Arabidopsis thaliana: one gene and its partner. The protein of the gene in region 2 interacts with the protein of the main gene of each other region in a pairwise test. Each region holds a gene or a part of one and is shown on either strand. Other genes may lie near its edges.

Region 1 (8,031 bases), on a different chromosome or scaffold from region 2:
TAAACCCTATTTTCATTGTAATTCTGCTTCCATACCGCAGAAAATGTGAATTTGATTTTGGATTTCTATATGTGTCGTGCAGTTGAAAGGAGTTGACTTTAAAGATTTGGAGGAATCTCCACTTGACAGAGTGTAAGAAGCATTATTATTTCCTCTTCTCTGCTAGTGGGTGATGAATACATACGAAGTAAACATTTCCATTTTCATGCAAAAAACAGGCTGACGAATGTTACTGAGGAAGGAGATCTTTATGGTGTAGCTGGGAGTTCTGGTGGTTATGCAGAAACAATATTCAGACATGCGGCAAAAGCACTATTTGGACAAACTATTGAAGGTCCTCTGGAGTTTAAAACTCTCAGAAATTCTGATTTCCGTGAAGTGACTCTTCAAGTAAGTTCTTAGCCAGACTATGAACAGTTTTGAAATTTTCTCTCATTAATCCCCCTCGGATTTGTCTCATGTTCGTCATCTTTTTCTTGAAGTTGGAAGGTAAAACAGTGTTAAAATTTGCGCTGTGTTACGGTTTCCAGAACCTCCAGAATATTGTTCGGAGAGTGAAAACGCGCAAATGCGATTATCAGTATGTAGAGATTATGGCGTGCCCTGCAGGTTCATCTTCTGCAAACCCTAGTTGAAAAACGTGTCTTATATGTTGACTTATTAACCGTTCCCCAAAATGCTCGCTCTCAACAGGTTGCCTAAATGGTGGTGGGCAGATCAAGCCAAAGACAGGACAGTCCCAGAAAGAACTGATCCACTCACTGGAAGCTACTTATATGAATGATACTGTAAGTTATCCTTGAGTCTCATAAATCACTTTTAACTAAGCTAGTAATAAATAACCTGCCCTTTTGGATCCAGACTTTGAATACAGATCCATACCAGAATCCAACGGCGAAGAGATTATTCGAGGAGTGGCTTAAAGAGCCTGGTTCCAACGAGGCGAAGAAGTACTTGCATACTCAGTACCATCCGGTCGTGAAAAGTGTTACGTCGCAGCTCAACAACTGGTAGACCGTAGACAAACTGGAAGTGTTCAAATTTTTTGACTGACAAGGCAACAAAAACGGTTCTATATTGTGTATTTAGATAGGAGATAAGTGTGAAGCTTTCTGCTCAAATCTTTATATGTAAAAGACAAATCTCAACATTACATATAAGGAAAATTACACGATCCTACTAAGCTGGAGTTTTTTTTGGTTGGCTTGCAATAGTACATTGATACAACCTCCAACACGGTTACACTTATTACATAGCAGTTACTGCTGTGATAGTTACTGTGATAGAGAGGCAAGGAGCTTGTCCTTCAACTGCTCAGCGGTGCAGCCACCCTGAGGCCGGAGAGTGAATGTGTGAACCACACCCTCCTCTGTGATGGCCACGTTGGAATCATGAGGCATAACTTCATTCTCCCTCAACGTTTGTATCACCTTTGAAACTGGATGAGTTTCCAACGGACAGCTTAGCCTTACAACTGCATCATCATGCCTCTGTTGATAATCAACCTCTGCTGGAGTTATCTGATTACTCTCCCTCCTCTTCATTATCTGCTTCTCTGTTTCATACACCCTGATTTTCTTCTGCATATCCGTGATGTAAGTGATTGCGTCTGCAAGGAGCGAAGCCTTGTCCATCTTGGAGATGTTAGGCACCACCGCTCTCAAAGCGTAGAATCTCTGGTTCAGCTTCTCCCTCCTCTGCCGTTCCGCTTCCACATGGTTTAGAGCCTCTTCTCTTCCATTTGCTGGTTTTCTCCCTCTCTTCCTCGGCTTTTGCTCGTCAGTTAGATACAATGTCTCATCTTTCCCTTGCTCATAACCATACACTTGATTAGAGCCTCCGATCGCTTGCACCTCATACGATTCCAATGAGAAACCCGTGTCATCCTCGGTCTTCGGGGAGAAATTAATACTCATAGACCGAGGTTTTGCTCCACCAAGACTCAGCTGTCGACCAAAGATTTTAGGAGCTTCTTTAGCCTGAACAAAGTCAGACCCACCAAACACTGATTTCACCATCTCAATCACACTCTTATCTTCTGGAATATGTCTTAAAGAACCAAGCTCCACAACTCCAGAATTCACTGGTACAGACAACACAGTCTGAAAACCAGCTGACCTAGCTAAGAAAGACCTAACCCTATAATAACTCAAGCAGCTAGGCAAATCTGCAGCCCAAAGAGGCTTCCCAGACACATAGGTTCCAGCAGGACCGTACTTATTGGTATCACACCTAAAGGAAAAGTACAAAGAAGCCAGATAAAACATGTCGAGATCAGTAAGAGCTCCTGATTTCACCAAACGATGATCTTCATCTGAACCAACGAACGACAAGTGAAGCTTGCGAAGCACACGTCTTTTGATCTCATCTTGCTGAGAGTAATCCTCACCTGAAGCACCCTTTTTGACACGGCAATGACCATCTCCCCAGATCAAGACACAACCATCAGAGCTATTAACGTTGGACGCTAGCCAGAAAAGAGCATAATCCCAATCAGATCCTTCAACAACGTGACGTAACCCTTGTTGGAGATTGGAATCACTTGGTGGTGAGACAAGCTTGGACAAGGCAGTGTTGGAAGCTGAAGCTGTTGAGATGAAAAAGTCGCAAGCTTCAGAGCCTATGGTGGATTCAACCATCGCTCGATCTTCTTGATTCTCCCAAAACTTTTGACCCATTTCTCCTGAAACGTTCATTGACATGGAATATACAAAAATTAGGGTATGGAATCAAATAAAATTAAAGGTATTTGGATTGAGATCGCTGCTTACAAATGAGATAGAAGATGATGGGTTTCGTGAGGAAGAGGAACGAGAATCACGTGATTCTTGCTGAGACACCGAATTTAGGGTTTGTTGGTGAAAAAGCAAAATCCTTTATAAAGGATATAACTCTAATTTATATTGCTGAGAAAGGAATGATCAAAGAGAAGACAAAACCTGAGCTTGGTTCACTTCAGATCTGTAGTGACTTGTTCTGAAATTGACGAAGAAAGAAGAAAAGAGGAAGAGACTATGCGAGAGAGAGAATATGGGTTTAATCGTAATTTAATACCAAGGACATCATTTCCTTCAGTTTTTTAACTGCAAACTATACTTTTGCCTTTTCTTACATACCAAACCACAAGTCATTGTGGTGTAATATCTATTCAACTACAAGTAAACCCATATCACTGGATTTTTGTCGAGATTATGTGTACATGTTGGGAAATTATTTCGTAGTACAACCTATTATGATGGGAGAATCGAAACTCGTCTTCTGAATTAACTTATCGCAAATCACCGTTAATAAGCGGAAAAGGAATTTACACATCTTACAATTATGCGCAAATACAATTGTTAATTGGATGAGTCATGCCATATTCTTGAGATGGTATGATAGGTATCATTACACCATGTAGTCAATCACGATTTTTTTGGATAATGTGGTTTAGAAGAACTAATCGCGTCTAATATAGACAAACTTATTCGTTCAGCAAAACAACAATTCGATATTTTTATTCGATTGACATGAGTCTTATAAAATTTATCACTAGATGTCTAATAAAAAAGGTTCAAACATTTCTAATAATTCGATTTTCGACCAAAATAAGAAACTTTAAATTAGCATCAAACTATCTTATATGGTTGTTTCCTTGCTTAACCTTCTTCCAAATCAATTTTTCAAATTAGCATCAATAAGATTTTAAAATACATCATAATGTTGTTCCGATAGTGTGTGACAACACTAACCATTTATTCCTATACAAGTTTATTTACTTGCTAATTCATTTACTGAAAATGTCCATGAACAAAATACCTAAAAACGAATAACCATAACCCAACCAAATATTAAAGACATCTCCATCAAGAAGAAACCCAAACAGTTTTTCAAACAAAAAGAATATTAGTATTTTATTATAATTTTATATATGATTAAATTTTTATTTTAGCGAACCAATTGAAAAGAGAAAAATATTATGATGGTTTGTATAAAGTATTTCATAGTTTAACGAGAAACATTCTACACTCTCTTTCTTTTCCTTTTATTATTTTTATTATTTTAATAATAAAAAATTACCAATAAAAATGGTCTATCTTAGCTTTTTTTTCTTCATTTTTTTTTCCCTCAACCACCATTCAACAATTAACATAAAAAATAATAGTTTTTTAAGTTGAAGTTATAAGAGTCAATTTAGTTTAAGTCATATGCTTTAGTAATAAGCATGACCGTCTAATCCCAAAAAATCTAAAAAGTACAGTGCCTTAGAAATTTCCTTTACCTCGACTTCCCTAATTTTAATCTTCTCGGTCGGAACTTCTGAATAATATTAGTAGAGATCCAAAACCTCACAAATTTCGACCGAGTTTTGTTGAATTCCGATTAGATCTTTCTTCCACGAAACCCCCCCAAGTACCCATTCCATCTTCTCCGGTGAGTCTCCCATGTTGGCATTACGCTAGGGTTCTTCTTCTCTGTGGTTTCGCATAACCCAATAATCCAATTTTCTACTTGGGCATCAATGGGTCGCTCTCGAGGGAACTTCCAAAATTTCGAAGACCCTACTCAGAGGTTTGTTCCTAATTCACTACTCTAATTTCCGATTTGGGGTTTTTGTGGATTTCTCTTTTGTAATTGCCAATTTGTGCTGAAATTGATTTGAATTTCAAGTTTCTTTGAGTCTGTGTTGTGCAATTGTCATTGATCTCTAGTTGGGACAATGAGCATGGCTTCAAATTTGTGGCTTTTGATAACTTTCAGTAGCTATAGTCTCCTCTATCTTCATCTATGTAATTGTGCCAATTTCTGCTGAAATTGATTGATTTTGAAGTTTCTTTGCATCTGCTTTGTGCAACAATCATTGATTTTTCAGTTGGGACAATGAGCATCGCTTAAAGTTTGTTGCTTTTGAAAACTTTCAGTAGCTATGTAGTCTCTTCTCTGTTTTCATCTGTGTAATTGTTTTTTCACTGTTGAAGCTGACATGAAAGAATCGTGTTATGCGTTTGTTGCAGAACGAGGAAAAAGAAAAATGCGGCTAATGTGGAGAACTTTGAGTCTACTTCTTTGGGTAAAAAAATACTTATCAAGGTTTTTTTTTTTTGTTTCTCCTGTCAAGATTCTTCTTTTACTCAACATTTTTTATTTGTGGAGACAGTACCAGGTGCTGAGGGAGGAGGGAAGTATAACTGCGATTATTGCCAGAAAGACATTACTGGAAAAATTAGGATAAAGTGTGCTGTCTGTCCAGATTTTGATCTCTGTATAGAATGTATGTCTGTTGGAGCAGAGATCACTCCTCACAAATGTGATCACCCATACCGAGTTATGGTTAGTTTTCATTTACTTTTCTTACCTTTTAGTTTGGAAAGAGTTTGATTCATTATACTTAGCGAAAATATCTTTTGGTTGAATTCTACCAAAGCTTAATATATGTTTCATTTGCTTTGTTAGGGAAATCTAACTTTCCCGCTTATTTGTCCTGACTGGAGTGCGGATGATGAAATGCTTCTCCTGGAGGTACCACTACTTCTTTTATCGTACTGATATGAAGTCTATAATGTCTGATTCTTTCAGTGAAAAGTAATTTCTTTTAATGTCTTTATTCAGGGACTTGAAATTTATGGCTTGGGAAACTGGGCAGAGGTTGCGGAGCACGTGGGAACGAAGAGTAAAGAACAGTGTCTTGAGCACTACAGAAACATCTATTTGAACTCACCATTTTTCCCACTTCCGGTATGCTACATCGATCTGATAAGATACCTATCTACCTCAGTAGTGCCAGCCTTTTGCAAGGTATTAACTAATTCAGGAGAAACGTTTATTTTCCCAGGATATGTCACATGTAGCAGGGAAGAACAGAAAAGAACTTCAAGCCATGGCTAAAGGACGCATTGATGACAAGAAAGGTATGCGCTTCTTTGCTTGATGGTTTTGATTCTGCGTTGTACGTGTTGCTATTTTAATTCTGATTTTGAAGTGGTTTCTTCTTTGGCAGCAGAGCAGAACATGAAAGAAGAGTACCCGTTCTCTCCTCCTAAAGTCAAGTATGTTTCTCGTTCTTCTCATGTACTGTACAGTGATAACCCTATAATTTTCTCATCTTTTGTTCAATTTTCTTGCAGAGTTGAAGACACACAAAAAGGTGAGTTCTTGCTTTGTATGCTATATCTGGTTCGTATATAGGTGTGCTTATCGTTTTGTTATTTACTTGCTCTAGCTTACACCAGTAGTTATAATCTAGTTAACCATCGCGTAAATGGAATCATCTACTTGTAAAGTAAGAAGCTGACTGAGCATAATTTTAAAATCCAAAAAGGCCCAATATTTGTCATTGTATTTATACTGGTAGATATTTTCTCCCTTTTTCTATGTTTTGACATTCTTTGTGGTTAGAGTCTTTTGTAGACAGAAGTTTTGGAGGGAAGAAACCTGTTTCCACCTCGGTAAACAACTCTTTGGTTGAGCTGAGTAATTACAACCAGAAAAGAGAAGAGTTTGACCCTGAATATGACAATGATGCTGAGCAACTCTTGGCGGAGATGGAGTTCAAAGAGAACGATACTCCTGAAGAACATGAACTGAAGCTGCGTGTGTTGCGTATCTATTCAAAAAGGTACAACATTTAAGATCAAAAGGGGAACAAAGTCTCTTCTTTTTGCTGTCCATTCTGACGCAGGTGAGTATGATGTTTGTAGGCTTGATGAGAGGAAACGTAGAAAAGAATTCATAATAGAAAGAAACCTGTTGTACCCAAATCCCTTTGAGAAGGACCTGTCTCAGGAGGAGAAAGTACAATGCCGACGTTTGGACGTTTTTATGCGTTTTCATTCAAAAGAGGAGCACGACGAGCTACTCCGTAATGTTGTAAGCGAGTACCGCATGGTGAAACGGCTCAAAGATCTCAAGGTAAGGACATTGCTACCCTCAAACTGTGCGTTTGGTTTCTTGGATTGGATGTGGCTCACTGTGTTGGATTGGTGGAGCAGGAAGCTCAAGTGGCAGGGTGTCGTTCAACGGCTGAAGCAGAGAGGTATCTGGGAAGGAAGAGGAAGAGAGAAAACGAAGAAGGGATGAACAGAGGGAAAGAGAGCGGTCAATTTGGTCAAATTGCAGGGGAGATGGGCTCTAGACCACCTGTGCAAGCTTCTTCAAGCTATGTGAATGATTTGGACTTGATTGGGTTCACGGAGTCGCAACTGCTGTCTGAATCCGTAAGTGTCTGAGAACTGAGATACTGAACAGTGTGAGATGAGTTTTCTGTCGTTGTAACTGAAAGAAGAAAGCTCTTTGTTTTGCAGGAGAAGCGTCTCTGCAGCGAGGTCAAGTTGGTTCCACCGGTTTATCTACAGATGCAACAAGTGATGTCACATGAGATATTCAAAGGGAATGTAACGAAGAAGTCGGATGCATATAGCCTTTTCAAGATTGATCCAACCAAAGTGGATCGAGTTTATGATATGCTTGTGAAGAAGGGTATTGCTCAACTTTAAGGCTTGTGTAGTGTTGTATCATATATATATATGTGTGAGCTCTAATGAGTTATTTGTTGACATTCCCTTGTTTATTACACCTTGTCAAAATTAGTTTGTAATAGAAAAACGATTAAGTTATCCACAGATTGTGAAAAGAGATAAGGTGAATCAGAGCCACACAATCTAAACCAAATGTTTTAGTATATAAGAAAGAATCTGACTCCTACAAGGAAAGGAAGAAGTGAGATGACGATGATGTCTCTCCCCAAAATGAGACTATCTTGTCTGCAACCACACCTCCATTTTACCAGTAGCAGATCAATAGCAGCAGCTCTAGCTTTTCCAAGCTCAAGCATAAGGAACAGAACATCATGTCTTGTTCGGTGTGGCTCAGCCAGAAGAAGATTGACTACGAAAAGTAGCAGAAACAGCAAGCTTGAAAGAGCACAACCTCCTCCTCTGGGTTTGGAACGGCACTGGAGATATGCTGTGGTTGGTGGAGTCTCTGTAGGGTTGATGATGGTTTTGGTATTGGGAATGGATGCAGAGAAAGCTATGGCGCTTGGACCAGAAGGTC
Region 2 (8,031 bases):
ACTGCAAGCCCTGAATCTGTGAATCTTTTGTAGTATTACCTGAGCAATCTCGAATCCTCGGCCTTCTCCAAGGAGAATGTTCTTCGCCGGGACAACCACATTTTCAAAAGAAATTTCAGCATGTCCATGAGGTGCGTCATCAAAACCAAACACTGTGAGAGGCCTCTTCACACTTATACCTGGAGTCCGCATGTCCACTAATATCATAGACTGCTGCTTATGTTTTGGGGCGTTGAAATCAGTTTTTCCCTATATAGCACAGATATGAATTCATGTGTGTGTATTTACATATATAGATAGATTAAGAGAGAAATAGAACAAGGAAAGAGAACTAACCATGAGAATAAGGACTCTGCACCTGGGATCCATAGCTCCACTTGTCCACCATTTTGTGCCATTAATGACGTATGAATCACCTTGTCTATATCAACATCAGAATTAGCTATAAGGAACATTGCGGACTGAGTCTCATTTTTTGGGAGTTACCAGTAGAAAAATTGAAGATGACATATAGCTTTCAAATGTTTTCATTTTTTTGTTCAGTTGAGAATTCGAATGAAAGTAGATATCAATATAAAGAAAATCTCTTACCTTCGGATAGAGCATTCAATATTGGTTGCATCAGACGATGCAACTTGTGGCTCAGTCATAGCAAATCCAGAACGAATTCTTCCCTCGAGCAACGGAATAAGCCATTCAGAAATTTGTTCTTTGTTACCATACCGCAGTATCACCTACAAGATAGTACAGATTATATAAATACAAGTAACAAGCAATGAGACAACTCTTGGAACGGTAAACAACATCAGGCTTTTATACCTCCATGTTTCCAGTATCTGGTGCACCACAGTTAAACACCTGTGGAGCCCAAACAGAACGACCCATGATCTCACAAAGGTAACCATACTCCAGGTTCGTGAGGCCCTCACCAAACAATTGATCAAAAGACTTGCCCGAGAGGTTATGTTTATTCTCGGTAGCCGCCAGTTCTCTTCTAGCTCTAGCAGCACTATCTACCTGCAAGAACCAAGAATCAATAAGTACAGTCTCAATCAGGGTAAAAGTAATAAGAGATTTGTAGCGAAAAAGATGCATACAGGAACAAATAAGTTCCATAGGCCTTCTCTCTTTGCCATTTCCTTTAACTTTTCCTCCTGAGGGTGAACGGTCCATCGCATATCTGATTGAGCAAGTTTGGAGAACTCGTTTTCCATTGGGTAGATATGAGTTTCCATAAACTTGATCAACTTCTGCCTTAACTCCAATACTTTTCTGTTGGGGATGAATCTCCCGCTTCCATCCACAAGGCTTTCATACGACGGAGACACGTCTCTTTGAACTGCATCCATATATAAGAAATGTAAAATAAACAGTTATCCTTAACAAACTTGAATCTCAAAGAGGTCGATTACCAGATGGAGGGTGTTCTGGAAGAACATTTTCACGTGCAATATAACCCAAGGCAGACTCTACAAGCTCATTAGCTTGAACCCCTGTATTTCGCGCTCTTTCACCGGCAGAAGCATTCCCCTGCATGATCAACACAATGTCAATGGCTCTACAACTGCATAATAAAGAATCTTAGAATTCAAAAATATGCCCGGGGAATACCATTAACCATCTACTGTACACCCCTGTGTAGATTGAAGCAGCCCGAAATAAGGAGAACGCTACGTAGAACTTCCAGTTTGCAGCAGGCCATGGTTTTCCCTAAAGTTCATTTGCCAATATGTCACTACAACAGAAATTGAGAAAATATAGGCAATGTACAAGGAACACCTGACTTGATTCCTTTTAAAGACTACATGTTGTTGCAGGACAATACCGATGCAGAACAGTATTCTAAGAGAAATTCTGGCATCGAAAGCATTCCTTCTGGAAGCCCAGTAGTTTCAAAACCTTCACTAACATGCTCCTTATCGAGCTGAACATTCACAATGTAATGCTGCCAACACAAATGAACTGTATATCAGAGCAGGAAGCAAAGAAAACTGCTTTATGAGTACAATACAACAAACAAGAATAGGTTATTACCATGCAGCTGTATGCAACATCACACATTTGGTTCCCAAGCGTGGACAATTCCCAGTCAATTATTCCAATAACTCGATCCTACAGTTTAAGATATTTTCAGTTAAGTCTCCGAGACTATCCAAGGATCAGAAAACAAAAGATCTTGAAAGTATTAAGACCTCAGAAGGATGAAAAACGAGATTGTCAATGCGAAAGTCTCCATGGACAAGGCCTGATGTTGCTCCAGTTGAATCTTCCGCGGGGATGTTTTTGCGTAACCAATCAACAAGCTCAAACATCTTTGGATTCCTTTCAGGTTTACCTTCACTTGTTGAAGCCAAATATTGTTTGAACCACCTATCTATCTGAAATGGAGGTATCCAAAAGAAAAAACTTTAGCAAGAGCATATAAGCATTAAGAGAACATCAAACTAGTGAGTAGTGATTTGGAAATTCACCAGCCCCAAATAAAGAACAAACCTGTCTTTTGCAGTAATTGCCTCGCCGACCATATTTCTCAAGACCAATGGCATCCACATCAGCAGAGTGAAGAGATGCCAAGGCTTTGGCGGTTGCACGATAGATCGCATTTCTCCTTTCAGGTGCTACATTCTAAATCAAAACCGATGAAACACACACAAATTTACACCTTTCGTTTACAATGAGTCACATCTCAAGCTAAAAAAACCGTACATACACATTCACATAACAGAGAATATCTTACCGGCAACTTTGGATCAATGAAAATACGTCCTTCCATAAACTCCATAATGTAAAAAGCAGTCCCAATGACAGCAGGGTCAGTGCATAAGCAGAAGACTTTAGGAACAGGAACCTGTGTATGTTCACCTAAAGCCCGAAGCACCTACATAAACCAACCACCATCAAAGTATTAAGCAAAAAAAGCATCTACCTTTAGTTGATACCGTATCTCTTATAAGCAGCATCACAAAAAGTTACAATGATTCTGCATTTCAAAACGGTACTAGAAACAACAAAATTTCATCTTCTTCAAAAATCGAGTATGAACAGTTACAATGAATTTTACAGAGGTAAAGATTATTAATTGATTGATACCTGAAACTCTCGATCAACAGCATGAGCAGATTGAAGAAGCTTGCCAGGAGGCTTCTTCCTCAAAACGTATCGTTTCAAGGAACTCCCTGAGCCAACCTCTATCAGAAACGTTGGATTCGACTGCCCATGTCCGAACTGTATGTAAACCAAACCAAAACAAAACACAGTCAGATAAAAGTTTCTTTCTTACCGGAGAAAAAACCTCGGCGATTGGAAAACATACCTGTGAGACTTTGAATTGGGAAGGGTTGGTCGGAAAGCCAGAGACGTTGTCGGCGGCAAAACGAAACAAGGCATCGTGATCGAAACGGTGAGCTGATTGGATACGTGTCACAAGATCGCCCGTGCTGCTTCCCATGATGTTCCTTCACTCTCCTCTATCTCGCTCTGCTCCTCAGAGATTCATCAACAAGAATAGCTCTCTAAAACACAAATACACGCATTCATACCAACAATTCCATTTACGGAAAGTCGCATAACCTTTCTTTTGGATAATTTTCTTTTTACTTTTGACCTTACAGCAATTTCAGAAATGTTTATCTACTTTTCTTATTTTTGGAGAGATAATTCTATGTTTTCTTTTTTTATAAATAGTAAATACAGTAACCATTTTGATTTTGATAATCATCGTTATTATCGTCATTGTGATTTTATATGCATCCAAAAAAAGCCAAAGATAATTACTAATTACTAACCATATATAGGTTGGAAAAGTTATCCATGAATTAACTTGATGGACATTTTGCTAACTCAAATCAAAATTTTAGATTAGGTGATTTGACTTAGGACGTCATATTCACATTAAGAAAGCTAATACAAAATGAATACGTTTTATAGCTAACGAGGACGAAATTTTCTTTCTGAAAACACTTAAGAATGAACAAACAATTTGACAAGCGATAATTGAAACATTTTTTTAACACTGAAAGTGTTTCAATTAGGAGTGTTGAAGTATTTGACAAGAAGATTTAAAGTATTTTTCTGTTGGGAAACTTTTAACTACTAAACTAAGGAATTTAATGTAGAGAAATTTTTTAATAGCCCATCTAAAAAGTATAAATCAAAGGCCCACTAAGCCCATATAGTTTCTCAAAGCTTCTGCAAAGAGAAGGACCGAAGAAGAACAGAAGCCGAAACCCTCACCGGCGATGGCTCTTATCAGCACACGGCGAACATTATCGACACTCCTAAACAAAACCCTCTCTTCCTCTACTTCATATTCTTCTTCATTTCCTACGCTCTCTTCTCGTTCTCGATTCGCCATGCCTCTAATTGAAAAGGTTTCCTCTTCCCGAACCAGCCTGGGCCCGTGTTACATCTCGACCCGACCCAAGACATCCGGGTCCGGATACTCGCCGCTGAATGATCCTTCGCCGAATTGGAGCAACCGTCCGCCGAAGGAGACGATTCTTCTTGATGGGTGCGATTATGAGCACTGGCTCATCGTCATGGAGTTCACTGATCCTAAACCTACTGAAGAAGAGATGATCAATTCTTATGTCAAAACCTTAACTTCCGTCCTTGGCTGGCAAGTTCCTTTTCATTTGATTTTGACTCTCAAATGTTTTCTTGTGCATTTGGGGATTGACGGATTTGCATTTTGTGGGTAATAATGGTTAAACTATAGTGAGGAAGAGGCCAAGAAGAAGATTTACTCTGTTTGTACTTCGACCTACACTGGCTTTGGTGCTTTGATCTCTGAAGAGCTCTCTTGCAAAGTCAAAGGTATCAACTTCTCCATATTTGCAATTAGGTTTTTAAGCCTTTTTTGCTCTGACATAGCTTTTCTAGTTGTTTACTTATGATGTTGAGATTTATCGTAAAAGGCTTTCTCTGTTTGGTACTGCTCTGTTCAACAGCTAGGAGGAAACTTCTCTTGATCTTTGTTTTATCGCAGTTATTGTCTGTCTCTAGTACTATAAAATGAGAACATATTTTACTGTTTGAGAAATCTGATCTAGAGTTGTGTGATTCATTAGCATTGCCTGGTGTTCTCTGGGTGCTGCCGGATTCCTATCTCGATGTACCAAACAAAGACTACGGAGGTGTGTAACGTTTGTAGATTTTGTCTGAATGATTGGGTACTGAGATATGGTTCTTAATACTGATACCATCTGTCTTTGGCTCTCATGTTCAGGTGACTTGTACGTTGAAGGAAAGGTCATACCCAGACCACAGTACAGGTTCACGGAACAGCGTCATACTAGACCCCGTCCTAGGCCAAGGTATGATAGGCGCCGTGAGACAATGCAGGTTGAGAGGAGAGAGCCATCCATGGGTCTTCATTCTCCAGTAAATCCGGGAGAGTTCAACAAGCCCAGTGCTTAATATTAAACATGAACAATGCATTATGTAATGGATGGAGTTTATTAGGATTATGGTATTTACATGCTTGTCTTAAACACTCATGTGAGAGACTTTTCAGTTTTTATCCACTTAATCAAACAAATCAATCATCATTCATGTCTCTAATGATGACTAAACACTACTCTAAACAGAACAAATTATAAAAATCTAATGTGAACTTGCGAAGGAGAAATTAAATAAATATGTACAATGTAATATATATACACACGAGAGATCATATGATGTAATTGGAACCGAGATTAAGAATACTTTTAACCAGGAATCATCACCACGACCACGAATTTGTCAGCATACCGGAGATAATGCAATGTTCAACTTCTCCCTTTCACCGTCGGTCACGATCCTCACTATCCTCTTGAACGCAAAGTGCACACAATTAGACAACGCGATCCAGCAAATCACTTCATACACAAATTCCATCGCTGGATCTGACCAAGACGAAAACGAAGACCCATCCCAATTATCCCTCCCGAAACCACCGCCGCCGCCGCCGTAGTTCCATCCCTTTCCGCCTCCATCGTTTCCTCCGCCTCCAAATCCAAATGGACCGTCGCTACCACCGAAATCACCTTCTAACAGAAAACGACCAAAATCTCCTGCGTCATCTCCATCTCCACCAAACGAAACTCGCCTGGTTCGTCGCTTTTTACGGATCCGGCGAATTGTCTTATAAGAGCTAGATCTGACCGGTGGAGGAGCAATTGCATCGACGGGGAAAATAATCGCCGATGCTTGAACGATTCCTCCACCGGGAGATTGATGATCAACAACGGAATCGGCGAAAGAAATGTGATTGGCCAAATCCAACCTTTGAAGAAGAGATTTCCCAAACGCGATACCTTGCTTAGCCGTGCAAACTGTGACTGTATCTGCGATCAAAGAGAACTCCATGATGATCTACAAATCCGACGACGACGACGACCTTGTTCGAATTCTCTTTTTTCCCTAAAATCCACGAAATAGTTTTGGATTAGGGATTTTTACAACATTGCCGGCGAATTTGGGTAATGACGGGAAATAAATCAGGAAGCTGATTCGGATCCGAAGGAGGCGGATAAATTGTACACGTAACTGATTTGCGCGTTGAATAGAGAAGCCACGTGTCTTGCAGTATTCACACGTGAGTCGCACGCAAGAAGGGTCCATTAATACGTGAAAGCCCAAAGTTATGGGTTGGGCTATATAATTCATTGAAGAGTTTTCGTATCACATTTCTGAAAATATACGGGTTCTATTCATAAATATAAGGAAATATGTGTCAAAAAAGCAATATTGTGGGAGCAGAAGATGTGCTTGTTCATGTGATCATTTCTCAAGGAAATTTTTCTACATGGAGTAAATCGAGAGATTATAACAACGTCGATTTAAATTATATGTGATTTCTTAGAAAGAAATCGATGGCATTTCATATGTTTAAATGTTCTTACGAGGTTGTTTGGTATGCCTTCTCTGAAATTCACACCAAAAAAAAAATGAAGTAAAATTTATAGCATAAATGGCTAAACATTTATCGTCGGTCCATAACCTAATCCTTCTGCAGATTCATCATCGACAATTTTTATGACAAATCTCACGTGCTCACTGACATTTGTTTTTTCAGACTTTAAGAGCTTCCAAACTTTGTTTTTTCATACATTCGTTAAATATGTTTCAGAAATAAAAGTTCAGGAAGTAATTGACATTTTTTATTGATAATCTAGACGTTAGCATTCCCATGTGATTATTACTTTCGGGTGACCAATTACAACCGCTATGTTTGACTTAATACTGATTTTGAGCAGTAATGAATGAATTAGGTTTCGAATATATTACTGAAATTTGCTTGGCTTCGTTACAAGAAGTCAATTACAAGTAAAACTTTGTAGTTCAAATATTAATTTCCATGACATAATTTAAAGTACTAAAGTGTTTTTGAGTTTTTCCTTATAGATCAACGCGCATGTAATACATTTGGTACATACATACTTAGCTTATGTCCAAAGCCAAACTACTGTTTTTGTTGTCTCAAGTTATAGTCAAACATCAAACACCAGAAAACAAATCACGGAATCCGATCGGAATCCAATTTTCAAAGCAAAGCTAGATATATTTATAATGTTGTTACATATTTTGTCTCTAGACAAATACATACTCCTATACAATTAGACTTCCGAGGTTTTGGATTCAATCTATGCAAAATATTGTGCTAAAAAAACAATATAAAATTCTCTCTGCTTCAATATTTCAACTTTCATGTAAAAAATTATCTAAGGAAAAATAAAACTGTTCCATGTAAACTGTAAAAAGAGAAGAATAGTTGGTAGTCGCTTCATCTACTTTGATTGTTTCACATTTGTCATTTGATTTCAAATAAAGGCATAAAGTGTTTGTTTACTTCTCTTCTATATATGTATCACAAGTTCCGTGTTTCACTATTAAATTCTCTACATTTAACAGCTATCTAACATCGTAGATGATTTATCAAGTACTTTATTTTTTTAAAAAATCTTTATCATATAGTATTAGAAAACTTCACCTAACCACTCATCATATATGACAATCTACTATCCACGACATGCAACCTTCTCAAAGTAA

The links. The genes of interacting proteins can lie anywhere in the genome.
Region 1: the proteins of MORF3 (region 2) and ADA2B interact in binary tests that used the Arabidopsis thaliana proteins (3 or more experiments, as listed by UniProt).

Annotation. Positions count from the first base shown.
Region 1 is NC_003075.7:9,262,246-9,270,276, reverse strand, and holds ADA2B (ADA2 2B), read left to right. Parts: upstream 1-4,119; 5' UTR 4,120-4,501; coding exon 4,502-4,551; intron 4,552-4,994; coding exon 4,995-5,050; intron 5,051-5,137; coding exon 5,138-5,310; intron 5,311-5,433; coding exon 5,434-5,499; intron 5,500-5,589; coding exon 5,590-5,715; intron 5,716-5,812; coding exon 5,813-5,888; intron 5,889-5,977; coding exon 5,978-6,026; intron 6,027-6,104; coding exon 6,105-6,124; intron 6,125-6,375; coding exon 6,376-6,595; intron 6,596-6,677; coding exon 6,678-6,888; intron 6,889-6,968; coding exon 6,969-7,193; intron 7,194-7,280; coding exon 7,281-7,472; 3' UTR 7,473-7,656; downstream 7,657-8,031. Other genes in the region: NAR1 (ferredoxin hydrogenase), read left to right, coding at 83-132, 219-390, 483-609, 694-788, 862-1,014; AT4G16430 (basic helix-loop-helix (bHLH) DNA-binding superfamily protein), read right to left, coding at 1,275-2,678; AT4G16410 (uncharacterized protein), read left to right, coding at 7,701-8,031. UniProt on the Arabidopsis thaliana protein: Required for the function of some acidic activation domains, which activate transcription from a distant site. The exact mechanism of action is not yet known.
Region 2 is NC_003074.8:2,141,951-2,149,981, reverse strand, and holds MORF3 (plastid developmental protein DAG), read left to right. Parts: upstream 1-4,174; 5' UTR 4,175-4,238; coding exon 4,239-4,618; coding exon of another isoform or gene 4,619-4,622; intron 4,623-4,717; coding exon 4,718-4,815; intron 4,816-5,069; coding exon 5,070-5,135; intron 5,136-5,227; coding exon 5,228-5,418; 3' UTR 5,419-5,598; downstream 5,599-8,031. Other genes in the region: IBR3 (acyl-CoA dehydrogenase-like protein), read right to left, coding at 40-249, 337-421, 592-734, 820-1,017, 1,098-1,339, 1,413-1,530, 1,612-1,710, 1,826-1,945 and 6 more; AT3G06780 (glycine-rich protein), read right to left, coding at 5,743-6,348. UniProt on the Arabidopsis thaliana protein: Involved in organellar RNA editing. Required for the processing of RNA editing sites in mitochondria.